Tamandua tetradactyla: one gene and its partners. The protein of the gene in region 4 purifies or fractionates together with the protein of the main gene of each other region. This does not show direct contact. Links are inferred from orthologs where the notes say so. Each region holds a gene or a part of one and is shown on either strand. Other genes may lie near its edges.

Region 1 (6,831 bases), on a different chromosome or scaffold from region 4:
ATGAAAACAGAAAATCGCCATTTGACAAACACCACAGTATTGATTGTTTCAGGCAAGAATCATCAATGGATGCTAAAATTTGTGGGTGAAATTATGATGAAAAACAAGTGTTTACATGGGCCTCAAAGTATCCCCCACAAAATTCTTATTACAAAGGGAACATAGTAATTTTACATAGAGAAATGTGGCAGACACTCCTTGGCCAAGAGATCACACACAATATCACTAATTAATGAGATATTAACATCATGTACCTCCTGATATGATGCCCTAAGAAGGGCATGACATCACTTTCATGGAATTCTCACAAAAAGTATATAAACCTGCATGTAATCATGAGAAAACATCAAACAAACCCAAATAACTGGCAAGTTTTTCAATGGGATTGACATTATGAAGGAAAAAGAGATGGAAGAGACTAAGGAGATGTGACAATGTATTGACAATGGAGGCCCTGGGTTGGAAAAAGAGCATTAATGGAAAAATTGATGAAATTTAAATAAGGTCTGTAGATTAGAAAATCTATCAACATAATTTACTCTTTTTGACAATTATGCTTTGGTTAGTTATGATTTTAACATTTGGGGATGCTGAGTGAAGATTATATGGGGAATTCCTTTTTTCTAAGTCTGAAATTATTTCTAAGTAGGAAAAAAAACCAAACCAAAATAATTGTGGGTTTGGTCAAATCATTTCCCTTCTCTGAACTTTAGTTTCCTCATCTCTAGAACATGGAAATCATTCCAATCGATTTCATGGTTTCATGAGGATAAAATGAAACAGTGCAAAGTGCCAACATGCATGTATTTATCCTGCAAAAAGTTATCGTTGTTTTTAGAAATGGCACTTCATGTGTGTTGAGCTGTGTTCTCTATCCTAATGAGAAACATCTGGCTCCAAGCTACTGGCTTTAGCCATTTGATGTGACGTTGCCCAGGGAAATAAAAATGCCAGCTTTTGTGGTTGGGTGGCTGTTGTCAAGGAGATGGCTCCAGATAGTACAAACAGTTGGTGGTGACATCATCTTTAAGCTTGACTGAAAGGTCATGGTGAGACCTCTCTCTCCCTGACCATGAAACCACTAAATAGCAGGAAAAACAACTTTCTAAATAGTCTATCCTTTGTGCAAATTATTCTATTTTCAGTTTTCAGGGTCATTAAAGGGCTTAGTACATAGTGCAGGAGTACGGTCATTTGTTGAATAGGGCAATGGATTAATCATAATAACTCACAAGCTCTTTTTCTTGATAGTTATCAATGTATCTAATTAGATAATGTATCCATGTGAGCTTGGCATTGTCCTCCCCATTTTACACATAGGAAAACAAAAGCTCCAGCCAGGGAAAGGGACCTCAGCTCACAGATATGTTGGAGGAGTTTCCAGATAGAGAAATCAGGTGTACGGACTTGTAATACACCTGTACAGGATGTACAATCCTGTAATCATACTGCTGATACTAAGATTGATTTCTTAGCTACCTTGAAGCTACTAAAGGTAGAGTCCCATGAATGCAGCACTGAAATACTCTTGTCTGGATATAGACTTCACCTCTTAGACCCAAATTCAAAAGTGGAGAAAAACAAATAGGGAAGACAGGTTGCATCTATACTTAGGGCATTGGAGGTCAGCGACTTGGGCTTAAATTCAGGTTTTTCACTTATACCAACCAGCAATGGGACCTTCAGTAAATTATTTTTACCTCTTTGAGCCTCAGTTTTCTCATCATTCTGTAAATAAAAGGAAATATTAGTAGTACCTATTCCAGAGACTTGTTGTGAGGGTTAAATGACGGTTATATGCCTGGTGACACATAAGAGATACTCAAAAATAAGTAAGCTATCTTCTTGCTTCCTTTCTTAAGAGCTTTCAACAATTGAACTGAATTGTTCTTTCATAGGGAAGTGATGATTTGTTCTCTTAGCCTCTCTCACCAAAAAAATAATTGGTTTTGTGTTAGTAGCTTTGAAATAAAAACAGAGAAATCATCTCCAAAACTGCGAGAGCCTGAAAGGTCCATCCAGTCCAACCCTTTCATTTTACAGATGTAGAAACTAAGTCTCAGAGATAAGAGGTGGTCTGCCAAATATCACAGAGAGTTGGTAACAAAACCAGTGTGGCTATTCTGACATTCCAGTTTCCTTGCTTTGGATGCACTTTTTTATCTTCTGGCCTTAGCACTTGCAAAGAGTTTTGGTTCTAAGCTTCAAGGACTGCCCCCTATCTGGGGCAGGACACTGGGTGTGTCAACTGGCTCTTGCCCTCCCTCCCTTTTAGATCGATCCTGGGGTGCTTGAAGAACTGGGAAAGGAAAAGGGACAGACGTTGGCTTATGGGCCTCACTAAAGCTGAGGGAGGGAGAGAGGAGGAATGGAGAGAGAGAGAGAGAGAGAGAGAGAGAGAGAGAGAGAGAGAGAGAGAGAGAGAGAGAGAGAGAGAGAGAGAGAGAGAGAGAGAGAGAGAGAGAGAGAGAGAGAGAGAGAATAAACATGCAATTACCACTGACTGACTTCTTAAAGGTATCTCAGGTGGTCACAAAAACCTTGCAGGATAGATATTAGCCCCATTTTCCAGATTGAGTGATTGAATCATTCATTCACCTACCATTTTTAAAAACACATACTGGGTAGCAGGCCCAATATATGCTATATGTAGTGAATATAGCAGTGAACAATTCAAACACAGTCTCTACCCTCATGGAGCTTTCAGTCTAATGCAACAGAAAGATTGAAATGCACACACACACATATAAATACATAATTGCAAAATCTGGTAGATGCTACCAAGGCAAAACAAGAGGTGCTAAGAACAAGAAATGGACCTTATTTATACTGGAGGATCAGGGAAGGCCTCTTTTAGAACATGGCATTTAAATCGAAGAATGATGAAACTAAGGCCAAGAGGGGGCTTATTTATGGATATAGGGAAAGTCATCACCTACCAACTCACCCATTTTTTCAAGTTGTTTTCATCCACTACTCTTCCCAACAACCTGCAGAGGAAGGTGGTAGCACTGAGATAGGGAGAGGAACGTTGATTTCACTGATCAGGTTTCGTCAAAATTATCTAGGCGTTTAGTGGTAGATGTGTGCTTAAATAGAGACAGTCAATGTTATGGAGAGAGCCATGAACCAGTTGGCAGCGGCCGCATATCCGGCCTAGGTCGACAGACTTAACTGTGTATGTCTTTGGGAAAGCCATTCTCTCCCTCTGGGCCTCAGTTTACTGATTTTAGGTGCTGAGCCCTAAAGATAATAAAGGATCACTAGGTGAGAGATTGGAGTGGGAGTGTCGCTGAGCACTTCTTGGTTCATAGAGATAAACTTATTTACTTCAAACCAATTACGCAAATTAGGACTTGAGTTGGGATTCCACATTTAGGATTCTTCCAAAGCAAGGCAGCACCCGATTATATGAGTTTAAAATTAAGGCGAAAGGACTGGCAACCGTGGCTAAGTGGCAGAGTTCTCGCCTGCCATGCCGGAGACTCGAATTGGATTCCGGATCCTGCGCATGCAAAAAAGAAAAAAAAAATTAAGGCGAAAGCCTTTGGACGTGGAGCCATCATTCTGTAAAGGGAAACACAGTTTAAAAACTCTGTGGGTCCGTGAGAGACAGGATCCCACTTCCCGCTTAAATTAACGACCGGGACGGTTATGCGCCCTCAACAAAGATGGCGCCTGCCCTGACTTCGGCCTAAGTGCCCTCACCAAAAAAAAAAAAAAAAGAGCCGTCGGAACCCTCTTTTTTTTTTTAGTCCTCCTAGGGTGCGGATGACCTACCCTTAGTAAAGATGGCGCCAGCCTGAGCTTCCCTGCCCGGTCTGTAGCTTTGGCCGGTCGGCTTCATCTCGCGCGTTTCGGGGACCCCGCCTCGTTTCCGTAGGAAGAAGCGCGGGGAAAGATGGCGGCTGCTGCGGTTTGAATTCCAGCGGCGCCCCTAGAGTTCGAACGAGAGCTGGGTTGGAGGGGGCGGGGACCCGGGAAACCCGGCGGGTCGCTCCAGCGTGGGGAGTGTGGGGGTGGGGGCGGGAACCAGTGGCGCCGCTACCACAGTCACTAACGCCACCACCGCATTTGTGCCCATAATGAACTCGGCGTTGGAGGAGAACGTCACCCTCCCCGGGACGCTGAGCGGCTGCAGGTGCGGCCCGGGCTCCAGGATTCGCCTTGAGGAATCTTTGGGTTTGCTCTTGTGTGTGCGTGTGAGCGTCTCCTGACAGGGTAGTGTGTCGGGTGGGTTGCCTGCGGGGTGAGGGTGGGGCTGTTCTTAGGGAGCTCACCTTCTGAAACTGTGGGGATTCCTGGGGGACCCGATCTGCAACACACCCGCTTCTGATATTTCCAGACGTACTTTGAGGAGGGTGTGAAGGACGGGTAAGTGGTTTTCTGAAAGAGCGGGACAAGGGGGCCTCTTGGAGTGTGCCATAAGTGGAGGCTCCGTGGGGGATATGGCGTCTTAAGTAGGGCCTTTGAAGAGATTTTATGGTTCATTCAGGGTTGGGGATTTGCTTTCTTTATGGGAAGTGTAGTCCATATGTCCAGACTTTGTTCATAGGACTATGGAGACTGAGGCGATGGAGTGCAGTGGTTAAGGTATTGGCTGGAGTCAGACAGAATTGGATTCAAATTCAGCCTTGTAAACTGTCCATCAGTAGAGGAGTGGGAAAATAATCGTTGTTTAAAAAGTGTCTTTCTGACTATTTGTGTTCCATTAGTGGTCATGAAATTCAGTTTAGTAGGTTGTAGCCAGAGGTTAAAAAAAATCGAGTAGAACAATAGAAATAGTTCAAGAATTAAGGGTAATATATTTTCTTCTAAGGGTTGTGGTCAGTAAAGTTTGAAAAACAGTGCTGTAGAATGCTTTGTGGGAGTTAAAAATATTGAGGTAAATTCATTTGTACTGACATGTAAACATCTCTAGGACACCGTGTGTGAAGAAGATGTAAAATGATATGTGCAGTATGATGGCATTTATGTTTTTTTTAAATCACAGAATAAAACTATTTCTCTAAGTGTGTAAATACACAGAAGAAGGCTTGGAAGAATGAATATGCTGACAACAGTACTTGCGTCTTAAGATAGGGGTGAGGAGTAGTTAGGGTGAACTTTAAGTTTAGGTGAACTTTAGGTTTATCTGTATTTTTTGACTTATAATTATGTATTATTGCTCTGATTAAGAGAAGGGAACAGAAAGGAAAGTGAATTGTTGAACTACAAACAGAAGTACACTTAGTGTAATTGTAAGTCTGAATGTAATGTCCAGTCCCGTCCAAGAGCTGTCAGGACACTTTAAAAATGAAACAGCTCTCCTTGGGTCTTGTGTGAATGAACAGTTGTTGCCACTTAAGCACAGAAAGAGATAACTCCTTTTGGGTGCCATTAGAGTGAGATCGGAGAAGGGGATGGTGCAGCTCAGGCAAGGGTTCATTTTTTCCCTCAACGAATATACAACAAATAGCTGCCTTTGTAGCTGTGCATTGTGCTAAGTGCTTTAAGTCCTCTGCCTACTTCATGCTGTCTTCACCACAACCCAGTTGAAAATGTTAGGGTTGCCAGAGTAGTGAGCATGGTGTTTGAAATCAAGCTGGTTTGGGATTTTTAGCTTATTAAATTGAGGGACCTGTTTGCTTGTTTAAAAAAAAAAAGTGGCAGCATTTAAAAAATACCACTTACTTCAGAAGGGCTGTGGTAAGGATTAAATGGGAGGTTGTCTCATCCTGAGCGTGGTTGCCTGTACTGGAGTGCTCCGTTCTGGTTAGGTTTTTGTGATCATTATACTTTATTTTGCCCACGAGGAAACTTACCCTACTGCATGCCATATCCATTTAGGAGCTTTGGGTGGTCTAGGCACAGGGTCAGCGAGTGGAAAGGGTGCTGAGAGACTGGGATTTTGGCCTCATTTTTGCCACTAACCCTTGAGGTTCTTTCTCCTCCCTGGACCTCCGCTCCCAATGCGTACAATGATAAAATCGTATCTAAGTTTTCTTCCTTTGTTTTCATTATTTTGGTTTCTAGTAAAAATCCTTCAGGCCCCAACCTTAGTTATCAGGCTTAGAGAACCTCACAAGGGACAGAGGAACTGCTCCTGGCTGGAGGTGTTAATTGGAACCAGCTGGAGGATGCAGAGGTCAGAGATTCATAACATTTTTAAAGTTGGTAGCCTAACTTTAAGTGGAAATTTGGCAGGAACCAAACAGGAACTTGTTCATTACATGGTGGGTTTCTTCTAAGAATTGGGATATCAGATGTTATTTTTCAGACTTTAATGTTTGCCTTTGGGTAGCTTGCCTAAGATCAAATTGTTTGACTTTGCCTGTTAGGTAGTTTTCAGCTGTGATTGATCTTGGCTTGGGCATATAGAGACCAGACTCCAGCCTATGCTTGGCCAATAACCTTGGGCCTTTGGTCCACCATCTGTAAAAGGTGGTAGTGGAACTTGATCTTTTTTTTTTTTTTCACGGGCAGGCAGCGGAAATCGAACCTGGGTCTTTAGCATGGCAGGCGAGAACTCTACCTGCTGAGCCACCATGGCCTGCCTTTGATCTTAATTTTTAAAATTTGTTTTGGAAAATGGACTTTATCCCTCTAGTGATGCTTACTGCAGAAAATTGAGACTTACAGAAAATTAAAAAGAAGAAAAACATCTGTGATTTTCGCACAGATGATTATTTTTAATATTTCAGTACATTTCCTTTGTCTTGCTGTGTATTTATAGTTTACCTGATACCAAACAGGATTTGAAGGCATGTTCTGCTTTATAGCAGGCACGTTTTATCTACTCGTTGTCCTGATATTGAACTTTTATGGTATTTCCAGTTATTTGCTTGGTCT
Region 2 (7,178 bases), on a different chromosome or scaffold from region 4:
TTGATTACCATGAGATAGACTCCAACATCAATTCTATTTCTATTCTCCACTCCATACATATAAATTCTGACAAACCATTAACACTTAAGTAAATAGAAAGAATGGAAGTTTCTTACAGCAATCTCACACAATTTTTTGAACTCCTTCCCAGTTAGATGCCAAAAGTACAAAGTAATTGTTCACTAAAAATTAATTATTTTTAGTGGTCTATTTGGAGGAAACTCAATTAGAGTCTCCTTCAATTTCATTAAAAGCCAGTAATTGGAAACCTCTTGACTTGCAAAGACTATTACTTATAGCTGGTATTCTTTCACTTAGAACATCCTTGGTTAATGTGACATACTCAGAAAAGATTGGAGAAATAGTAATACTGTTAATTTTAACACACCTTTGCCTATATAATACATTCTGATAAAAGCATATTTTTTTGAGAAGGAGAACGTTTTACCCATACCTTGACAGATATCGGTCTGAGGACATGCAGAGGCAGGCATGATAGTAGTAGTGAGTTAATATGACTTCATAATGTTCTGAAGACTAGGGATAACTGGATGTCATGAGACTCCATCCCATCTTCATGTTTTCATTCATCAATTCATTCACTCATTTATTCAATGAATAGTTTCTGAGCATCTACTACTTGCCAGGCACTGCTAAGCAAAACAGTTGTGGTCCCTACTCACAGATCCTACAGTCTAGTGGAGGAGGGAGACAGGCATTAGCTAAATAATCTCACAAATAAAAATCATTATAAATTGTGATCATACTTTGAAGAAAAAGTAGGAAGTCTAGATAAGGGGGAAGTTTACTTAATCTGGGGAGTTAGGACAAGAGTTCCCGAGGAAAGGAAAGTAGATTGAAAGTTAAATATTCTTGGATGTTCACAGGCTAATGGGGATGGACAGAGAAAGGACATTCCATACAGTCTGAATAGCTTGTGAGAAGGCTCTGAGGCAGGGAGGGGCTGGCCAAGTTTTGAGGAGCTGAAAGGAGAGTCTGAGGAGCAGAAGGATATGAGAGGAAAAGACAATGTTAGGTAGATCACAAGAACCATAACAAGCCATCAGAAGATTTTAAGCAGGGGAGTGCTACGGTCAGGTGTGAGTTGCTTGAGAAGAAATGCCAACTCTCTGAGGATAATACGTACATACTTCAAACAACAGGAAAAAATGACAAAGTCTAGGAGCAAAGTTATGTCTTAGGAAAAGAAATATGGATTTTTGTGAACTGACTAAATGTAATGTCTTGTATTTTTAAAAATGTTTTTATTGACAACATACACAAACATTCTTAACACACAAACATTCCATATATGGTGTACAATCAATGGCTCACAATATCATCACACAGTAGTATATTCATCACCATGATCAGTTCTTAGAACATTTGCATCACTACAGAAAAAGGAACAAAAAGAAAAAAGAAAACTCATACATACCATACCCCCTACCCCTCCCTCACACTGATCACTAGTATTTCCATCTACTCAATATATTCTAACTTTTTGTTCCCCCTATTATCCGTTTTTTTATTCATATTTTTAATTCATCTGTCCATACCCTAGACAGAGGGAATATCAGATGCAAGGTTTTCACAATCACACAATGTCTTGTATTTTTAAGGGATTAAAAAGAATAAGCAACACCTGCATAAACTTGTACTACAAATGTTCATAGCATTGTTTTTCATTTTAGCCAAAAAGTGGAAACAACCCAAATGCCCATTAACTGATAAAGATAATAAAATGTGGTTTATCAATACAAAAGAATTTTATTGGAGAATAAAAAGGAATACAGACACATGCTACAACATGGATGACCCTTGAAAACATTATACTAAGTGAAAGACATAAAAGACGATATAATGCATGATGCCATTTATATGAAATGTATAGAATAGGCAAATTTATGGAGCCATAAAGTAGACTAGTGGTTGCTTAAGCCTGGGAGTGGTTGAGGGATTGACTGCTAATAGGTACCAGGTTTCTTTTAGGCTGGACAAACGGTTCTAAAGTTAGATTGTGGTGATGGTTGCACACTTCTGAATATACTAGAGAACATTTAATTGCACACTTTAAATGGGTAAATTGTAAGGTATGTGAATTCTATCTCAATAAAGCTTTTTTTTTTAAAGAAAATTTTAAAAGCAACTGGAGCTAGGGACATCCGTAGAAATGAGTCTCATTTCTTCATATTCTCTTGACTCCAAAGAACTGTAGAAGGAGAGAACACCATGACTGTCCTGCTGGACTGAGTTGGGGGAATTTATGCCTCTTACTTGAATGGTAGAGTTGAACTCCACTGATCATCTAAATTAACAATACTAAGCAGCTGTTTCAGTTAATCATTAATGAGGGCTCTAAAAGAGACTCAAAAAAAAAGTGCCTGATTAGCATTTCAAAAGAATGGTCTTAATTTGTTGAAATACTTTTTTCTTTCTTTCTTGTTTTTTTTTGTTTTATCATTCTCCCTTTTAAAAAATGACCTGTTTCTTGATTTCTTGCTCTCATTAAAATTGATATTGTCTCCGATTTTTTTGACATTTATTTTCCATTTACTTCTTTAAACTCTGATTAGGAACATGTGAATGATAATTCATAAAATAATACTTAGGTTTAAAATAGCTACAGAGAAAGGGAATATGAGGTTGAGCAGGTGGCAATGCTTACGTTTTCACACTCTGAGGTGGCCAAGGTTTCTTAGGGAAGTATTCCTGGTATCTGTATTAATCAGTTTCATAATTCCTCAGCTGGTGTGCGTGTGTCTAGTTTCATTTGGCTTGTGCTGCTGGCTCTGTTAGATTTTTATAAAAATTCATTGCACTTTCCTTTCCAGCTTCCGTCCTACTGGTGTGTACTTGCCAAAGTGTAACCAAGGCTTCACCCTGCTGCCGGTAGGCCAGTTAGAGTGCCTTGTTTTATGCATGAGGAAGCTGAGACTCAGGGAAGATAAGATCCTCTGATTTAGTTGCGTCACTAGTTAATGACAGGGCATGGAGTTGGAACTCAAATATTCAGATTCCTGTTTCTTGTAGTTGCACACTCTTGATTTTCCAACCTTCAACCTCAAACTTTTAAAATCATACACTTAGGAACAAGTACCTACATAGAACATCACTTTATGTTCCTGTATCTTAGAATTGACCTGTGCGGGAATCTGCGCGGAGGGAAAAAAATCAGGGTAAAAAATGGCTTTTTTTTTTTTTTTTGGTTGCTACTTGTTGCAAGTAATAATAAAAAAAAGTCCCCACTTTTTCTCCTTTTTTAAATACCAATAAGTCATGCTTTATCAATGCGTTTTAAACAAAAGTTAGGAAATAACACCAGGACTTCTAATCTGAAGGTTTGTAAAAGAGGAATGTCAAGGTCATTGGAAATTAAGATTGTCACCAGTGGCTGTCACCCAGACTACAAATCTTCGAATTGATCTCCCTGCATTCTGCTCTGGGCGCCTTAAGATCCATTCTCTGCTAGAAAGAGCTTCTGAAAAAATGTAAACCCTACTTAAAACTCAAAAATGCTTTCCATTCTTTCTTGACCTACAAAGCCCTACAGGATCTGCCTCATGTTTACCCCTCCAAGCTCATTTCCTCTTTCTCATTTTTTCCTCCTCAAACCTACTAGAACAAGTCCCAATTTAGAGGCTTTGAAAGCTCTTTTCTTGCGTGAAATATCCTTCCCTTTGATTTTTGCATGACTATGATTCAAACTGTTTAACTATCTCCTCCTCAGAAGGGTCGTCCCTATTGTAGCCATCCAATCAGTCACCATCACATCGCCTACTGTAATTTCTTCTCATAGCAATTGACACCGACAGATAATTTTTCTATCTTTTTTCTCCCCTTCAGATACGCGTCCTAGAAATTAGGTTATTACAATACGTCATCATCGTTGCTCAATCGACAGCCTAGAGTCGTGCCTAGATATTTAGGAGCGCCACACAAACAGGGCAGAACATGAACCATAGTGAGGATACGTTTAAAAATATATTTCTCATCCGTCAGGTAATTCCACCCTTGAGGAATAGGTGCCCTAGTCAGGTGCAACCTGACTGAACCGGTCCTTCCATTGTAAGCATTCCGGCTGTTTAAAGCGTATCAGCTTTCCTCTAGGGCCGGGCTTCTCCGTGGCCAAACGCCTTTCGTTCCGCTTTCGTGACCACGTAAAGGAGAAAAGGAGAGCACTAGGGCCCGGTGATCCCTGGATGCTAACTCCTTCGGCTAGGATAGGCCAAGGGCCCGGTGCGCCCTCAGTGGTCCTCCCTAGAGATGCTGGGGAGAAGGGGCGGGGCTACCCTGAAAGGATGGGCCCTTCCTTGGACCGTCAGATCTGGTAGGACTGTCGATTTTGGCAAACCCCGGAGCGTCACAAGAAAGCAAAGTTGACGTTGAGGCTAAGAAGATGCCCCGCTGGCCTAGGGGGTGAGATTAAGGGGTCGAAGGAAAAGACACTAGGCCGAAAAACGAACCTGCGGAGAAGAGCCGAGGCCGAGGCTTTTTGCAAGAGCAAAGGGTTAAACCGTTTCCAAGCCAACGGACTAGGAAGCACGCGAGACGTCCGCCGCAGGTTCGTAGGTCAGCCTCGAGTTTAAAGCTCCCACGGCTGAGCGGGCTTCGGCCAATGAGAGGCCGTCTCCATATCACGTGACTGGCAGGGCCGGTCCGGTGGTTAGCTTCGAGCACGTGGGAAGCGTTCTCCCTGTTGCTTCTTTCCTTTATCGAGAGCCCACCCACTTTTGCGCGGGCTTGGCCACGGTGTTCTTCTCGCGAGAGGCGTGCATTCACGCGAGAGTGGGTGGGAGGCGTGGGCCGTAGGCAGTGCTGCGGTCAGGCGCGGCTGCAGCGGAAACCCAGGGGGTGGGCTGGGCTGGGCTGAGCGGGGGCGGGCCGCTGGGTGGGGAGGGGGAAGGCTGGGAGCCGGTGCGGGAGGGGGCTCCCTCTTGCTCGCCCCATTCGCGCGGCTGGTCGTTGCAGGCCGGTGACATGCTTGTGAGCTGCGGAGGCTGCGGCCCCCAGGTGAGCCGGGAGCGGACCGCCCGCGGCGCAGGCGGCAGGTTGAGGGGGTAACGGCTGTCTTTGGGGTCGGAGTGGATGGAGCCGCTTTGCCGGTGCGTGTTCCGGTTCGGACCCGCTGGAGAGCTGCGTCTTCTCACGGCGGTGGGAGGAGGGCGGTGGGAGCGAGGCGGAGGGAGGACGCCAGAGGCACGCGGCTGTGTGGGGGACCCTGGCGTTCGGGCCGTGGCCGTGGGGCTGCTGTCCCTTTGAATGACAGATTCAGTTTCCATCCCCGGCGTGTTTGTCAGAGTCGGGGCTTCTCTGTGAGTACCGGTGCGTGTGTTTTGTTTGTGTCGTGTGCATTCACGAGGAGCGTATGCACGAGAAGGACATTGCACTTTGTCCCCAGTCAGCGCATCCTTCACTGTCAGAAGCCCTGCGCTCTGGAACCAGGCACAGCCCAAATCTTATGACTGAAACGGAAGGCGTCAAGTAGCTCATCAGAGTACTGACGTTTGGATTTGCTTTAAAATTCTCTCATGCCGTTAGTGGCCTAAATGTAGGCCATCCAGTATTGTGAATGGGCTGTGTATACTTGTATTCCAGGCATCTAAGCTGCCTTCTTTCTCTCTTTCTCTATGTGTAGATATATATATATATATATGCATATAAATACATATATATATATTTGTAGATATAACCAAACTGAAAAAAAAGCTCAAACATTGGCAAAAGGACAAATGACAGTAAAGTCTAAACTCCACAGTGATAGAACTTGTTAGTAATTCTTTTCCTCTCCTCTTAAGCCTTATTAGATTGAGGTGGTTTATCTTGAAATATTGAGGAATTTCAAGATGACAAATATTGCTGAGATGCATATTTAATGGCCTCAGTGCAAAACAAACTTCACATTTCTGATTCTCTTTCTGCTTTTGTAATTATTTGGTCAGTACCTTGCAGAGCACCTAAGTTGTCCCTAGCTTCTCCCCACCTTTATTTTGATATGTCTGAAAATATTCGGAAAATATTGGCTGCTCAGTAATACAGAGAAGATTTTGTTGTAATACCTTGTTTATAATTTTTGAGTAAATGCCCAGCACTTACTGGTGTCAGTTAAAATAGTGCAATTTAATGAATCTTTTTTATTACACAGTCATGCTCATTCAAGCAGTTATTTGTTATTCATGTATTTCTTGAGGCAAAATGTGACCCCAGGGATGACACTGAATTTCATGATTGGTTGTAACTGTAATAGGGTAGTTTTTGAGAGATCAGAGTGTGTAAGAGATTTAGGAAAGAAGTGGATACTTAAGTGGAGTTGGTAACTCACATCTGGTGAATATACTCTGAGTTGGTAACTAGTGACTGGTGCATATATTCGTGTATATCCCCATTGAACTGCACTATTGATGAGAGCCTGCCTAGGGTTATATTCCTAGGACAGTGATATTTCCAAGTTGTTCAGGATATAGGAGTTGCCAAAACCAGAGTGAGAAATTCTCTAGCTTCTGAACTCCCGGAGGAAGTCTAGAAACTAAAGTATTCCCTTGCCTTCAGAGGCTGGAAAAAGCGTAATGCTTCAAAAAAAATTTTTTTTTAAGTTTTAGGAATTACTATCTAGGTAAGGAAATCAAACTAATTCAAATGGTACATTATAGGTAATTCTAAAGGAAATTTCCACTTATAAGTGGGCAGAAGACTTCTCCCGAAACTTGGCCAAACATGAAAAACTTAGGAAATTTGCGAATGGGCAAAAGTACTCAATCTAGATTAGAAAAAGTTCCCTCCCATTCCACCATTGCAGACTGATTCCAGAGTTAGAAAAATAGAAGCTTTGCTGTTCTTTATCTTTTGGTTTCAAACTTTTAGAATGTAGATACTTGTTATTTTGTCTTTCTTTGAAAAGTGTGAGGTAACTTTGGGGAGAGTAGGTTGGTAAGCTGGTTAATTTTTTTCTGTGGAGTGGACTGCATTTTGGTAATAAAGTAAAACACTGGGAGAGAATGGGGGGTAAGGACAGCTGAGGAAAAGATCTGTTTAGCCTGCGCTTAAGTGAAGGGTGTATAAACTGATATGTGGGGAAGAGGAAGGAAAATACATTATCAATTTAAATATAGACTCGGCAGATCCGAATGTCTTCATTCTTCCATTCATCCTTATATATAAAAGTTCATTTTATTTTTAAA
Region 3 (7,873 bases), about 41 Mb from region 4:
ACTAAATTAAAAGTTCACTGAAGACAGAGAAAAGATATACTGTTTGCGTAAATTCTTGCTTATTGCTTGGTTTAACATATACTTTAAAATTCACTTTAACAGGGTGGGCCACAATGGCTCAGCAGGCAGAGTTCCTGCCTGTCATGGTGGAGACCCGGGTTCAATTCCCGATGCCTGTTCATGAAAAAAAAATTGCTTTAACAACTGTATTTAATAACTTAACTTGAAAGACTATAATGTTTACTATTTTAAGATGAACTCTGCTGATGATCATAATATTGCAATCTATAGTTGAACTGGAAATCTGGTTTTAAACAAGTGTTTTGAAATGCTATATTATTAATGCAAAATATGACTATTTCTGATTTCTTTAAGATTTCCAACCAGCACAGGGAAATCACATACATACTTGTGTTATCACAAAGCACAGCTGGCTCTACTTTGATTTCCTGCATTTCTCATCTGCCTTAGCTTCTCTGCCAGAATCTTTTCTTTCTTTCTTTCTTTTTTTTTTTTTGCATAGTTTTTACTAATTAGAGCATCTGTTTCCAATTTCATAACTAGGGCAGTGAAACCTGATACAACTGGTTTGGGACATGGGATTTTCCACCCCTCTAATTCTCTTGGAAACTCCCTTCCAGCCCAGAATTAGATTTTAGAAACACTACAACCTTGTTGCCACACAGGGGTTACAAACGTGGCTATTGTTCTCATTGATACTTCCCAGGTCCCAAAATCTAGAGATCAAAATGGAGATAATGCAAAAGACCCCTACCACAGTAAGGCTTAGGAATATTGCTCCAGATGGGGATATAGTTCTCTAAATTTCAAATAGATCATGTAAGTAACTCTTCATGATGAGTGTTTCCACTTACCTGAAGAGCTTCTTTCTTATTTTTGACAGAGATTTTTATGATTACCATTTAGGATAGTTCTAAGTTCAGTGGTTTTCAAAGTGTAGTTTCCAGACAGAAGCATCAGCGTGACCTGGGAATTTGTTAGGGATGCAAATCTTGGCCATCACCCTAGACCTACTGAATGGAAATTCTGGGAGTAGGGTCTAGCAATCTGTGTCTTAACAGGCCATTTAGGCACTTCCGATGCATCTTAAAGTGTGAAAACCACTGTTTAATTTCAAGACAACTTTATTTTGTAGATTAGGAAATTAATGGCCATATTTAAGTGACTTGACATAGGACATACAGGTAGTAAGTGCTTGTGAATGCATTTATCTACCAATTTTGTAAGCAAATTGCTGACACATATAATTAATAATTCGTTTAATTCATAGTAGTTTATCATGACATGAAATCTGTTGTTTTCCTTTATTATTTATGTTTGATAGTTTCAGAAGTAATCATCCTGTTCTAAGCCATCATGAAAGCCCCTAAGTCTCATCTTAAAAACATGCCTTGCCTGCATCATAAATATGTCATGTGTGCTATAAGTGCGCATAGAATAACACTTTCCAAAGTTGGCAGGGATAGAACTGTAAGAATTTCTTCTTGGCTATATTTTGTCTTCCTAATTTTCAAAGTCATTTTTAAATTAAAGTAGGAGATTACTTTCTGCCAAAGAAACCCTTCAGATTAAAAGTTTTTGGGTAGTATGCATTTTTATATTTATTTACTCTTTTTAACCTTTGTTATTCAACTATACTAGCATATATAAAATTTGTAGCTCTAAGCATTCAGCTCAGTGAACTCTGACAATTGTATATGCCCATGTATAGATACGGAAGTAGAGAACATTTCCATTATTAAAAAGCTAATAGAGAATATTTTCATCACCCCAGAAAGTTCGTCTGTGTCCTTTGCAACCAATTCTCACACTATCTCCACTTCACAATTACTTTCTGATACTTATCACAAATAAGGAAAGGAGAAAATAAATATTCATAATTCCACTCCAGACATAATCACCATTTAATGCCTTATATTTCCTTTGAACTTTCTGGTTATACAAGTCCTGTACACACATACATCATATATATTACAAAAATTCTTATTTCAACTTCAAGTCTTACCACTTTGACTCTGCTGTTAGTGTGTCAAATTGGCACTATTCTAATTTTAAGTCTAGAATATTTTCTAAATTTATTTAATTTTAAAGACAATACATGAATATACATTCATTGCCCAAAATTCAAATGTTACACAGTACATAGAATAAAAAGTAAATGTCCCCCTTCAGCCCTATTTTGCTTGGCTCAGCACAGGTAGTCAGCGTTGACTGACTACAAAATCTTAACCAAGATGATACTAAGGACCATAAACTGGATTTATTACTCCATGGTTTTTCTTCTTTCCTAAATGTTATTTTTAAGTTTTGTTATCTGCACATCAGACCTTTTAGTTGGTATTAAATTATCTTACAATGCCAAGTGATTATGGTAGGACTAGTTCTATTTACTGTATCTTGCTATTTGCATTGAGGTACAGTTTAAAAATTTTTCTCTAGGCGTGAACAGAGTTCTGTCTGTAAGAGTTCTGTCTTTTCTTTGACTGTCAGGAGGTTTATTCTTATCTATGCCTGGAAGCCTAGTTATATATAGCTCTGTCTTTTAGTATATTGAGAGTATATCAAACATATTCTTCTCAAGTAAATTGCCTTTCCATTATTTGTACTGACTTGTACTTCTTATACACCAAGTCATCTGTATATTGTCATTAAAATTTGGAGACTATCATCCAGATGCAAAATCCTATTAAGGAACAGAGCATAATACAAAGTATTATTCACAATTTGCTCCTGAAGGGCACTTTGTTTTATTAATTACTTTGTTTCATTAGCAGTGTTCTAATAGGACAAATGTGGCTTGCATTGACTGTCAAAGATGAGGTCTTGATTAATAACGTCTTATGCACTTTTCTGGACCTTTGAATTCTTACTGTTCTTTAGGACAGTATTTACAATTGGGTATGGCAGGGGTAGTAGCATCCTATTAGGCTGCCTAGTCTGTCTGTCAGAAAGGTCAAGTCCAGGAAACAAGATCACTATAGATTCCAAAGATTGTTGTTTGATTTCTTCTCACTTTGAAGCTCATCTACCCAGAGGAAGGGGAAAGTGCAGTTGTCATGAGTTCTTCTTGGAACTCTATTTTACAGTCTTGGTTTTAGGGCCAGAGGTGTAATATTTAGATAAGACAAATACAAAGTTTTGTAGCCTAATAACGGCAAAATTCTAAGGACTGTCTTTCTTTCTCACAATGGAACAATCAGATGTTCTTTTAAGTAATGAGAGATGAACACAATTTTATGTGTGCAGAGCCCTATAAAGTTTTAAATTAGTTTAAAATAATCTCATTATATTAAATTATTAGCTATTATTTAATGAGCCAAATACTGTTAAAGCTCTTCCCTCCAAACCATCTCATTTAATTCTCGATAAGGAATTTAGAAGTTTACTCTGAGTTCCCATTTAAGACTTGCATACCTCCAGACTACTGAGTGTGGGTTCTGTCCTGGGGATGAGGTTTAGAAATACTTGGGCCTTTCTAACCTCATTTCACAAGGTCAAGCTAGTGAATTTACCATTATTTTACAATTAGGAAGTGTACGCTCTGGAGGACTTCCAGGTGATTGCTGAAGCAGGTTTCTGTTCTTCGTGTCCAGAGCCTGCAAGCCTCTCCAACCGGAAAGAGACCTCCTTATTCTAAGTGGTCTTTGACACCTGCATTCCGCCCCGCCAGAGCTCCGGTCTCCCTCCACTTTTTGTGGCATTCCACGTTCTGTATCCGAAGGTGGAAGGGCTTACAACTGTAAAGCATGGAGTGGGACAGCACTGTGCGTACTGCCTGACCGTGCTGAAACTCCAAACGCTCTTCGTGCCGAGATCTGAGCTCCGCGACAGTCTCCGTTCCCGCTCAGAGAAGCTCCATCTTTTGTTCTCGTTTGTCCCCTCCCCGCCCCCAAGGCAGGACCGTCTTGGACCTTGTCTACTTGGACCTGAAAGAGAATCAGGTGATAGCAATCTACTCTCAGGTATCTGCGTTCCGGAAAAAGCCCTTTTCCTCTTCGATTCTCTGCATCATGTTGGCTAAGCAGCTGCATTCACGTGGGGGGTGCTGGACTCGCCCTCCGGCCGTCGTCTTGTCCCTTCCGGTTTCTTCTGGGGGCGTGAAGGCCAGCCCTCGCTCCCTCAGCGTCGGGGGCGAGCATTTGTCCTCCCTTTTCTGGATACTCCCAAAAATCGAGGGAGGGGGTGCACGGAATTGCTAAAACCTGCCCTCCTCGCCGCATCTGGTCTCACACCAGGACAGCCCCGGGGCCTTCCACCCCCGCGGGCCGAGCGGGCCGAGGGGCGGCGCGCGGCGGCACCAGGTGGCACGGGGAGGCGGCCCCCGCCGGAGTAGCGGCCCCGCCGCGTCCCAGCGCGAGGGTCCGTGAGGGGAGGGCTGCCGAGTTGAAAGCGGCCCGCCGGTGGGCAGGGGCGCCACAGCGTACCCACGGCGAGGTCCTCCCAGTCTGCTCTGAGCAGCGCGCCCACCGCGCGCATGCGCAGAGCTGGCGCCAGCCTCCGGGACTCCGGCTCCCGGCGGACCCTGACGGCGGCGCAGGCGCGGGGCGGGCGGCGCCATCTTGAAATCGGATCGCCAGGCTTTGAGGGTTTGCGTCAGCCGCGGACGGCCGCGGGTGGCCCGACAAGCTGGCCTTCTAGAAGCGGAGGGCGTGGCGGCCGCGGCGGCCGGCGGCGGAGACAGCTGTAGGGGATTTGGCAGGCTGAGCGCACGTCCCGCGCGCTGCCACTCGGCGCCCCCCTGAGGCGCCCCCTGAGGCGTCCCCGCGCCCGACCCCCTCGCCGAGGGCGGGGCTGAGCGCTGGGGTCCCCGGAGGCCGCGCGCGGGAGCCCGAGGTACGGCCCTGCAGGGTGGGGCCATGCCAGCCGGACCTTGCCGAGGCGGGAGGCCGCGCGGAACCAAGGGCGAGTGAGCGATCCCCGGGCCACCGCGGCCACGGGCAAGCGCGGCCCTCGCTAGGAGGGGAGATGAAGGAGACTTGCAGGATCTGTGCCCGGGAGCTGTGTGGGAACCAGCGGCGCTGGATCTTCCACACGGCCGCCAAGCTCAACCTCCAGGTTCTGCTTTCCCACGTCCTGGGCAGGGATGTCTCCCGCGATGGCAAAGCCGAGTTTGCTTGCAGCAAATGTGCTTTCATGCTTGATCGCATCTACAGATTCGACACCGTTATCGCCCGGATCGAAGCGCTTTCCATCGAACGCCTGCAGAAGCTGCTGCTGGAGAAGGACCGCCTCAAGTCCTGCATTGCCAGCATGTATCGGAAGAACAACGAGGACCCCGGCGCCGAGACCGAGGCGGGGAGCGGGACGGTTGACATGTCCGGCCTGCCCGATGTCAGATATTCGGCGCTGCTCCAGGAAGACTTTGCCTATTCAGGGTTTGAGTGCTGGGTAGAAAATGAGGATCAGATTCAGGAGCCACACAGCTGCCATGCTTTGGAAGGCTCTGGAAACCGACCCAGGAGATGCCGGGGCTGTGCAGCTTTGCGGGTTGCTGACTCTGACTATGAGGCCATTTGTAAGGTGCCTCGAAAGGTGGCCAGAAGTATCTCCTCTGGCCCCTCTACTCGGTGGTCTGCCAGCATTTGCACTGAAGAACCAGCCTTGTCTGAGGCTGGGCCCCCAGACTTAGCAAGCACAAAGGTACCCCCCGATGGAGAGAGCATGGAGGAGGAGACCCCGGCTTCCTCTGTGGAATCTTTGGATGCAGGTGTGCAGACCAGCCCTGCACAACAGAAGGAGGAGGAAACTGAGAGAAGTGCAAAGGAACTTGGAAAGTGGGACTGTTGTTCAGACGAGCAGGCTCCACCGCATGTGTGTAACCACAAGCTGGAGCTAGCTCTTAGCATGATTAAAGGTGTCGATTATAAGCCCGTTCAGAGCCCCCGAGGGAGCAAGCTTCCTATTCCAGTGAAATCTAGCCCACCTGGAGCCAAGCCGGGCCCTGTGGTGACAGATGGAGTTAGTTCCGGTTTCCTTAGCAGGTCTTTGAAGCCTCTTTACAAGACGCCTGTGGGTTATCCCTGGGAGCTGGCAGACCTGCAGGAGCTGTGGGATGATCTCTGTGAAGATTATCTGCCGCTCCGGGTCCAGGTATACAGAATGGTTATGTAGTGCCTTTCCGATTAGATAGTGCCTTTCTGGTTCCATAGTACCTCAGGCTTCACCTGAAGTCTGTCTAGTAGCAGGTAAGTAATCTAGACCTGAGAAACTTAGCCATTGAGCTCATTTTTGCTGATTTGTTTTGCCTGTGTTCCATTAATAAATGTGATTCACACTCAGATAATTTGCTTTTCACAATCTTTATCCACGCCTTCCTTTTAAATACCAAAATGACAGGACCTTTCAAAACAGAAAGATAGCACATTTTACCCTGTAAAAAGACTACATTTTTTGCCTTAGAAATCTTTCCTCTTACTTCCTTTTCTGTTAATTTTTCTTTTAGATTTGTAGATGTTTTGTTCCTTTGGCTTTTTGTAAGGGAGTTAGTGTACTTCTTCTCTGGAGCATTAAGTCTTTCATCCCCAGGTATGCCTCAGAATGATTAGAGCAAAAGGGAAAGATTTGGGGAGAATTTATTCGTCTGTTAGTAAAGTATTGCAACATCTGGGCAAGATTTATTATAATTAATAGGTTATTCGAGGACTAATGATGATTTGCTCATAAAAGATATGTGGGAATTCAAGTAGTGTTACTTACAGTGATAAGGAGCCAGTTTGTCTACTGAGCTCTTCTAGGTCAGGTTTGATGTTAAGAAAGAATCCACCTATTACTGTGTGATAGAAGAGGTCCATGCCATTATTCCTTTTCAAATTTCTTGACTACTAGAGAATAGCGGTTGATCTTAATTTGAGATATCAAATGTTTGCATACCAGTCATTTAAATTCAGCTTTGTGTGGGGACCTGACAGATGCATTTTTGTTTCTATAGCTATAGTAAATGCTAGGTTCATTTAATTTTATGAAACATTCTGGTACATTCCTTTTGATACAAATTTTTTAGTGCTACTAAAGGTAGACAGTGTAAAAGGCATTTTTGGAAACCATGCCTTTACATCCCAGAAGTTTAGAGCTTGATAACAGATGAAACTTTTGATTGTCACTCGAAAAAAAAAGTTTGAGGGGGTGGAGGACATTAATTTGTATCACAATAAGAAAAATGTGGGAAAAGTTATTAACTTTGCACAATTAAATGTACACAAAATTTATTAAATTACACAAAGTTATCAGACACAGCATATGAGTGCTTGTAAAAGTATAAAAATCAAAACCATTTTTTTTTTTGGCATGGGCAGGTGAGAACTCTGCCACTGCACCACTATTGCCTGCTGCCAAAAACTTTTAGTGTGTTTATTTGTGTAAAATGTTCAGTATTTGTATGCCTAATACATGCATATTTCTTTTCCATAACTTCCTTTTCATTTATTAGCACCTCACAGCTGAAAGACATAGAAGTCACAAATTAAATATAGTAGTTACATATTAGGATCTGAAAATAGTCCAAGTGGATGGGAAATACTTTTTTTTTTTTTTACCCCTTCACATATAGCCAATATTGTAGAACAGTAAAGACATGGAAAATTATAAGCAAATCATGTTTTTTTTTTTTCTTCCACATTTAATTAAAAATACCATCTTTTGGGGCTTGGACTCATCAAATTTTGCAGTTGGGATGGATTTTAAAGATCATCTCATGCAGTTCCAATTTAGAGATATAGGAAGCTCATGTTTTAAATAGTTCAGTCCTAATAATGCCAAAGATTACTAATTTCAGACAAGACCTTTTTATTCTGTGTGTTAGACTACGTTGCCTGAAGTGCAATTTAAATAAGTACTTACTTTCCAACAAGAGCTC
Region 4 (7,955 bases):
GTGAGACAAAATAAGCCAGAAAAAAAAAAACAACAACAGCAGTAGTTTGGTCACCTTTAGAAAATGCTCGTAAGAAAACAGGGGCTTAGATCGTAAGCTTTTAAAGCAGACACATTAAGTCCGGAGTGGTGATTATTATTTCTGGATTTTGAGAGGCTGTTTTATATTACTTGAAATTTAGAGATATGAACGAAGCCGAACAGGTTGGGGTTAAAGTAATTTAGAACACAGGGGTAAGGAAGACAGTGTCTATATTTTAGAACCACACATAATCTTTAAGACCAGTGGAAGAAAGGTTTATTTGATCTGGAACTGAAATTTTCTGTAATATATAATCTAATTCAACCTATCTGTTTAGCTCATTTGAGCAACTGAAACACAGAAAGCATAGAATAAGAAAGAGGTCTTTTAATCCTGTATAGGTTGTTGTAAAGCCTGGAAACATCCTAGAGTATATTAAGCAGATAATCAAAAAGTATTGGCAAAGTCCCCTGAGGAAGAGGAGAAAGAATATGGAACTATTAAACCTTACCATCAGGGAATCCCCTGATACTGTGTCAAACCTTAGTGATAACCAAATCACTAGGCCATGCCCTCGATCATGAGGCTTACTCTTGTGAAGCTTATGTAGGTAACAGAGAAGCTTAGGGTACCAAAGGCACACCTAAGAATTACTTCTGGAGGACCTCTGTTGTTGCTTAAATGTGGCCTCAGTCTCTTTAAGTCCAACTCTGCAAGTGAAATCATTGCTCCCCCCCCCCCCAACATGGGACATGACACCAGGGGAGAAGTTCTCCCTGGCAACGTGTGAGAGGGCTCCCAGGGATGAATCCAGACCTGGTACCATGGGATCGTGGGATCAACAATTACGTCCTGACCAGAAGGGGGAAAAGAAGTGTAATTAATAAAGTATCAGTGACAGAATTCAAATAGAGTCGACAGGCTACTCTGGAGGTGGCTCTTATGCAACATATCCTATCATAACCTGCCAACCCCCAACCAGGACCATTCCAGCCAATCCTAAAGAACAACTGGGGCAATATATAAGATTCCATAAGTGTTCCAGGCACTAGAGTAACTTTCTAGAAATCTGCAATCTCCAAATGGGTCCATGGTCCAGATAAGTCCTGAAACCTAGCCCAGCCTCTCCAGAACATCAGGTAGTTCCATCTCCCTACCCCATATTAGTGACATACCCTTCCAATATCAAAAATTTAGTATTTTCATAACCCAAGTAACCCCAAAGAGAGGCATGGAAAGATCAAAGGTGATGGTGGAATTATACATAGAAGATAGGACTTAACAAACATATATGAATGCTGAATCATTAAATTGATATCTCTTTTAGGCTACAGTATTTTAGAGCAGCTAGAAGTTAAAACCCAAAATTGTGAAATTGTAATCCATGTCAAAGTCTGAAATATGTTCCACACCTAATTGTTGTGCTGTGCTTTGTAATTTATAGCTTTTGTATATATGTTCTTGTTCATAAAAAAAAAGAAGGAAAAACCTCGATTGTGATTGTAAGAAAGTATTTAAGCCCTCTATTGTCCTATATTCTGGAGTAGCTAGGAGGAAAAATATGAGAGGATCATATGGTAGCCCATGCTATTAAAAAAAGAAAATTACAAGTGTTGAAGAAGATGCAGGGAAATAGGAACACTCATTCAAATGCTTTTGGTAATATAAATTGGTACAACCTCTGTGAACACAGTTTGATTGTTCTTCAAAAAACAGTATAGAATTACTGTATGAGCTGATAATCCTACTAATAAGTATATACTGAAAAGAATCCAAAGCATATTCAAACAGGTATTTATTTGCACACTGATGTTCATAGAGACATTATTCACGATTGCCACAAGGTGGAAGCAGGCTAAGTGTCCATCAACCAATGAAGGAGTAAACAAAATGTAGTCTATACATACAATGGAATATTATTGAGCTATATAAAGGAATGATGTTCTGATACTTGCAACAACCTGGATGAACCTTGAAGACATCATTTTGAGTGAAATAAGCCAAACAGAAAGAGGCAGATGTTGTATTATCCGCCTGATAGGAAATAATGAGAATAAGCAAACTCATAGACTCAGAACCTATAATACAGGTTACCAGGGAACAGGATGGAGATAGGGAATGGGAAATTATGTCTTCAAATGTACAAGGTCCCTATTTGCAGTGAGAGAGATATTTTGGTAATGGATGGTGGTGATGGTAGCCTAAAGTTGTGAATGTAATTAACAGCATTGAAATATATATCTAAATACAGTTAAAAGACAAAATGTTAGGTTGTATGTATGGTAGCAGAATTAATTTTTTTTTAGTCCTTGGAACATCAGGCTATAAATTGTGAAGTTATAAAAATGTGCTGTCATCATTTGTAATGTTCCACACCAATGCAAGATATTAATAATAGGGTGGTATATGGGAATCCTTTATTTTATGCATGATTGTTCTTTAAATCCACAGCTTCACCAAAAGATATGCTTTTACAGCAAACTTTGGGTGCATTGCTTGAGGTTTTAATATAAATTAAAAATATGAGGATATCATCTGTATCAAACAGTATACTTAAAATTTATTTCAATTATGATGGAATTCATACTTAAGGTTTATTTCAATTATGAAAGAATTCATAGTTTTATTTGAAACTGTAGTTGTTTCTTTCTGGCAGTAGATGCCAGTAGAGTTCTTCTTCCTCGTCTTTTTTTTTTAATAAAAATCAAACTGATTAAGCTCTTCCACAGCAACAGCTTCTTAGTCACATTTCCATATTTAGAAACATTGCTCCTAGGGCAGAACATTCTGCTTTCCTTAAGATCTTAGTAACAAATGGAAACAGTTTTGATAAAAAAAAATATACATAGGTATCAAATCTTGTATTTTAGAGATACACATCTTAACCCTTTTTTAACTATTGCAATTACTTTTGTTATAATACTTATCCATTATTTTAAATATATTAATCTTAGTGTTTTAGCAAGGAATTTGAAATTTCTTGTAGTGAGTCACTACTTTGAATATAAGTCGCAAATAAATAATAAAATGAAAAAGGTAGAGCTGAAATGTTAAGAGTAGTCTGCATTTGCCAATGGAATAAATATTTGGGGGCAATTAATATGGCAGAGGGCTGAATGAGTGGAGGGGGTTACTGGAAGAAGAGAGACCAATTAAATGGTTGTTTTAGATATTCACATCTGCACTAATAAAAATATGGTAAATAAAAATGGGTAAAAATGGAACTCAAGGAATAAATAAAATATAACTGACAATATGAGGGAAAGGAGATGTTCGGTGATATTACTTCTATTACTATGACTTCATCTCTTCATATATGGACAATTTAGTGCTTGCTGAATTGTTTACAAATATGGCCCTATCATAAATAAAACTAAAACATTTTCAAGTGCTTGAGGATCCTACCATGTTTTGAATAGTTTAAAATGAGCATAAACTTTCTTCGTTCAATGTGTATTTATTGAGTAACTAATTCATTCATTTCATTTATGAATTCAAGTAATGATTTCATTGCAGTTTCATAAACAACGAATTTTCTAACAGGAAATTATAAGGTCAGTAGAAACAGAGGAGAAAATAATTTTGTCTTTATAGTTTGTGGTAGACTTCACTGAGGAGGTAATGTTTGTGGTCAGTCTTGAGGATGAATAGAATTTCCCCAAAATAGCAAGTCAAAGGGATTCAGGAATTCTATCTTTTTCTGCCTATTTAGACCAATTAGTACTCTATAGATATTTATTACAAGTCTGCAGACACTTACTAATGTCTGTTTTATGTAAGGCACTGTGAGATGTAAAGAAGCGAATTATGTATTGTACATACAATATTTATAAAGTTATAGGTTTGTTTTATCTTAGATATACTGTTGCTTACTTGTTAATTTTGATACTAATTTTATTACACAAAACAAATTGTACACTAATGAGCTATTATTTGGCAATATTCATTAGTAAACACTAGCTCTGTTTGTGTGCGTGTGTTTGGGTAGCCCTAAAATGATTATATTATTGTTCCTCTTTATTAGTCATTACTGGTCCTATTTATTGTATTTGTCAAGGAGTTGACAGGAAATCTGTACCAATATATTTTTAAAATAGATTATTTTAAAGATTTTTCATTTTTGTGGCTCTTATTTAGAGCTTCCAAAGGGAGAACCACACAATTTATCGTCCTCTGATTTGTCAGTCTCAGAAGGTACATGCTTAAAATCATTGCTAAATGCCACAGGATTCTTTTTTTTCTACAAATAGACTTAGCAAATGTTATTAGAAAGAAATGTTCCTAAGTGAGAGCCCTAAATCAGAGATCAGGTAAGCAGTAGTCTTCAGTGTTTAGGTTTAAAAATGTGTGTCTTAGATAATTAGAAGGAATTTTTTTCTCCCACTTGAAATTTCTTGCTATGACTGATTTTGTATCATTTTAAATCTATATTTAATTATTTTTCCGAAATTTAGAATGTTTTAAAGTATACTGCTGGTTGTCATGTGCTTATCAGTGGATTATCTTTGATAAGCAATATTGACATACTATTTCTGTAGTTCCTATGTATGAACTAGACCTATGCCAATGATTTAGCAATATCCAGTTCTTTTTTACATCCTAGTTCATATGTTTTCTTAGCTATAACAGGTGTGGTATATATATATATATTTTTTTTTTTTTGCAAGGGTGTTTCATATCCATTCCATAGCAGTTTTCAGTGAAAAGTTTTCTGTTTATAAGAATACCTGAATTCTGTATATTAGCTGACTTCCTGGAAAAAAAGAATATCTCTGTTTTTATCATGCTATATTTGGAGGGTAGTTTGACCTTCAGTTATTTATATAGAGTTGGTAATACATGTTCAAGTAGTTATCTTTTTTTAATTTTAATTTTCAGCCTATTGTCTGTATAAGACTTTAGTATGAATACTCTCATTAATATGTATATTGATATTAATATTAAGACACTTTTAAATGTAGAGACTTTTAGGTAGGTATTTCAAGTTTTAAGATCATCATCTGTAGTTGTGTTAGAAAAAGTTTTGCTAAGAAAGGCTCAGTAATGTGCTGTTTTATATTAACAGGAAACAGAATAGCAGTAGTGGTTTGAATACCCTGCAAACAGGAAGTTTGACATATGCATAGCTCTCAGCTTCTGTGTAAGAACTTGTTGAGCTCCTTCTGGAAATATTTTCAGTTACTTTAAGTAAAGTGTAAACGCAGATGAATGGCAGCTTATAGAGAACTACCTTATCACCAGTGTACAGGTACAACTAATGCTCTTCAGAAATTGGAAGGTTTTGCTAGCCGATTATTTCATAGACACTCTAAAGGTACTGCACATGATCAGAAAACAGCTCTGGAAAATGACAGCCTTCATTTCTCTGAACATACTGCCTTATGGGACAGAACAAGTAAGTTTTGTTTTGTTTTTATGATACATTATAACTAGCAACTAAAGCAGGAATTAGAGCTTTAGAATCAAATGTATAAAGAACCATGTTTTGTTTGTCTTTTTATGGCTTGCACAGAGCATTTTGCGAGATGAAGTTGAAAGAATTCCATAAAAATTTGATTAAATGTTGAGCTGCATCATGCAGTTCAACTTTTTGTTTATAAGTTGATTGTTAGTGGGAAAATTTTCTGCAAAATACTTATAACATTTCTAAATGTATGCTACTGTTTTTTTGTTTTTGCTTTTGGTCTTATATAAAAATGAATGGCTAAAGTTTAGAAACAATGCTCAGTGTATTTTTTAAAAGATCTTGGATTTATAAGTCTTAACCTTCAAAGGGGGCAAGAAGACTCCTGAATGTATAACTAATTTCTGTTTGCCATCATTTATTTTTAAGTGCATAGATGAAAGTTATTTCAGTTTTACAAGTAGGGCTTACTAAAGTAAAATCATAATATGATTATTTGGTGTGAAATCTTAAACTTAAAACATTATGAATGTCAAAATGTATCATGATTTTATGTCATTTATAATTATGACTAATGGAAAAAAAAAGCTGTTAATGCATACATCACATTCTTTCCAGACATGTTAAAATGTTTGGACTTAGCTGCTTTGTTAAAATGATTATATGAAACCATTTTTGGTGGTATGCACTTTAAAAGATTAATTAAATATATAAACAATGCCAGGGCCTCCATTCCACATCTCACCTTGTATCCTTCCCAAAGTATTTTTGTCACTCGGGTTAAAGGAACAAGAGAATTGCCCTTGATAACCATGCCCTTTTTTGTATGCTTGTTTGATCATCAAATAGCATAGGTTTTGCCTCTTTCTGATTATATATTCCCTAGCAGTTAAGGAAGAAAACTTAGTTTAAAAAAAAAGAAAAAAATAATACAAATAGTTCACAAAATTTGCCCCTTGGTTTATATATTTATAGCACCTTCATAGTCGTATAGAGGCTTATTTGAATTATTATTTTTTTACTGCATCATAATTTTTTTTGCCCTTGCCAAACTATTCAAGGCAGAAAATGAAGAACAGCATATATTTTTGCAAAATTTTTTTTCACTCAAAGGGTTTGATTTTTTTACATTTAGTCCTTATTGTGTATGAAGTTGATGGAAGAGGAGTCTCATAAATTGCCAGGTTCATGAACTACTGTCTGTTGGATTAATAGTACATTGTTAAATTTTTCCACATGACAAAAGTTTGTCATTCTTTCTGCTTGCCCTGTTCGGTTAAATTGCAGTCTCCTAAGCTGTTTTGGAAATCATTTCTGTGCATTCCAAAGACCTTTTAGTCTAAAGTTAAATGATGACTGAGGACAATATTGTATTAAGTTTTGTTTCACTAATATTTCTTCCTCCATATAGTAGTTACTTAGTAAGTACATCATAAATGAATGAGTGTCATGGACTTTTAATAATTAAAATATGTGTTTGAATATACTCTCACCATGTTTAAAATTGTATGGGCTCTCTGATGTTTTCCAAACCACATTTTAAAATCTTACAATAAAAGATACAGTATCATGAGCCACAATTTCTTTAGGAAAAGACAGACTGACAAAATGCTGTTATCATTTTTCTTCACAGTAAAGTTACAAAATAATATATGTGAATCATTGTATGCAAGTAAAATGAAACCTAAAAATTAGGTGCAAGCCTTGTATCCCTGCAAATAATAGGCATGATATAAGAAATATTTTAAGAGTAGCAGTGTGCATTAATTAAGTATTCCTCCATTCTACTCTCTTTCATATCACAAAAAGATCATAATAGACGCAATAAGTACATATATAATGGCAGATATGGGAAACATGGAGCTGTATTTTCCTATTATGGAAATGTGTTTATATAGAGGAGAAAACACTGATACAGCAGAAACAGAAGACTCCTATTGTTCTGAAATTCCAAGATTTATTTTCGTGGTGAAAAAACAAGTTTTTATTCATTTATAGAGTGAGATGTAGGAGTTTTGGCCATATAAGGTTTGCATACAGACCACATTCTTCAAAGGTACTTAAAGCAGTTTGCTTGCATGACTTGTTTAATAAAAGAAAAAGACTGTAGTATCTCTTGATGATAAACATTCTTGATGATAAGCACTATAAAAGTGTTATTTTAAGAAATCCACTAAGCATAGAAATTGTATGTAGCTTTCTTTTTAAATTAGGCTTATGAACTATTGAGTAAAGATTATTTGCCAATATAAGCAGAGGTGAAATGTAACTTTAATCCAAGTTTCTTTTTTATCCGATGACATATATGAAAAGATAAAGAATAAATGCTAAACAATAGTGGTTTTTCCAGATGACTTTAATGTGTTTCATCTTTTACTACTAAAATAAGTAACAGGAATTTCTATTTGTAACAGAAGTATTTAATCGTTGATTCCATATTAATGTAAGAATATGAAGTTCAATGCAAAGCCATGGAGGAATTCTTTTTGTTATGAGTCAAAATAAATGGCAGTATTGATATTTATAGGGT

The links.
Region 1: the proteins of PRKACB (region 4) and CDK5RAP2 purify together in Homo sapiens (affinity purification with mass spectrometry; 4 studies listed by BioGRID and IntAct, counting the BioPlex papers as one, with this or other methods). This does not show direct contact. The link is inferred for Tamandua tetradactyla from reciprocal best matches to the Homo sapiens genes PRKACB and CDK5RAP2.
Region 2: the proteins of PRKACB (region 4) and AKAP11 purify together in Homo sapiens (affinity purification with mass spectrometry; 5 studies listed by BioGRID and IntAct, counting the BioPlex papers as one, with this or other methods). This does not show direct contact. The link is inferred for Tamandua tetradactyla from reciprocal best matches to the Homo sapiens genes PRKACB and AKAP11.
Region 3: the proteins of PRKACB (region 4) and PDE4DIP purify together in Homo sapiens (affinity purification with mass spectrometry; 5 studies listed by BioGRID and IntAct, counting the BioPlex papers as one, with this or other methods). This does not show direct contact. The link is inferred for Tamandua tetradactyla from reciprocal best matches to the Homo sapiens genes PRKACB and PDE4DIP.

What each region holds. Positions count from the first base shown.
Region 1 is NC_135328.1:36,971,480-36,978,310, forward strand, and holds the start of CDK5RAP2 (CDK5 regulatory subunit-associated protein 2), read left to right. Parts: upstream 1-3,820; 5' UTR 3,821-4,085; coding exon 4,086-4,141; coding exon of another isoform or gene 4,142-4,182; intron 4,183-4,280; exon of another isoform or gene 4,281-4,362; intron 4,363-6,831. UniProt on the Homo sapiens protein: Potential regulator of CDK5 activity via its interaction with CDK5R1. Negative regulator of centriole disengagement (licensing) which maintains centriole engagement and cohesion. Involved in regulation of mitotic spindle orientation.
Region 2 is NC_135330.1:116,862,994-116,870,171, reverse strand, and holds the start of AKAP11 (A-kinase anchor protein 11), read left to right. Parts: upstream 1-4,174; 5' UTR 4,175-4,564; intron 4,565-4,900; exon of another isoform or gene 4,901-5,013; intron 5,014-5,086; exon of another isoform or gene 5,087-5,105; intron 5,106-7,178. UniProt on the Homo sapiens protein: Binds to type II regulatory subunits of protein kinase A and anchors/targets them.
Region 3 is NC_135337.1:314,928-322,800, reverse strand, and holds the start of PDE4DIP (myomegalin), read left to right. Parts: upstream 1-4,865; 5' UTR 4,866-4,986; coding exon 4,987-6,111; intron 6,112-7,873. UniProt on the Homo sapiens protein: Functions as an anchor sequestering components of the cAMP-dependent pathway to Golgi and/or centrosomes.
Region 4 is NC_135337.1:40,932,316-40,940,270, reverse strand, and holds the start of PRKACB (cAMP-dependent protein kinase catalytic subunit beta), read left to right. Parts: upstream 1-4,945; 5' UTR 4,946-5,229; coding exon 5,230-5,416; intron 5,417-7,955. UniProt on the Homo sapiens protein: Mediates cAMP-dependent signaling triggered by receptor binding to GPCRs.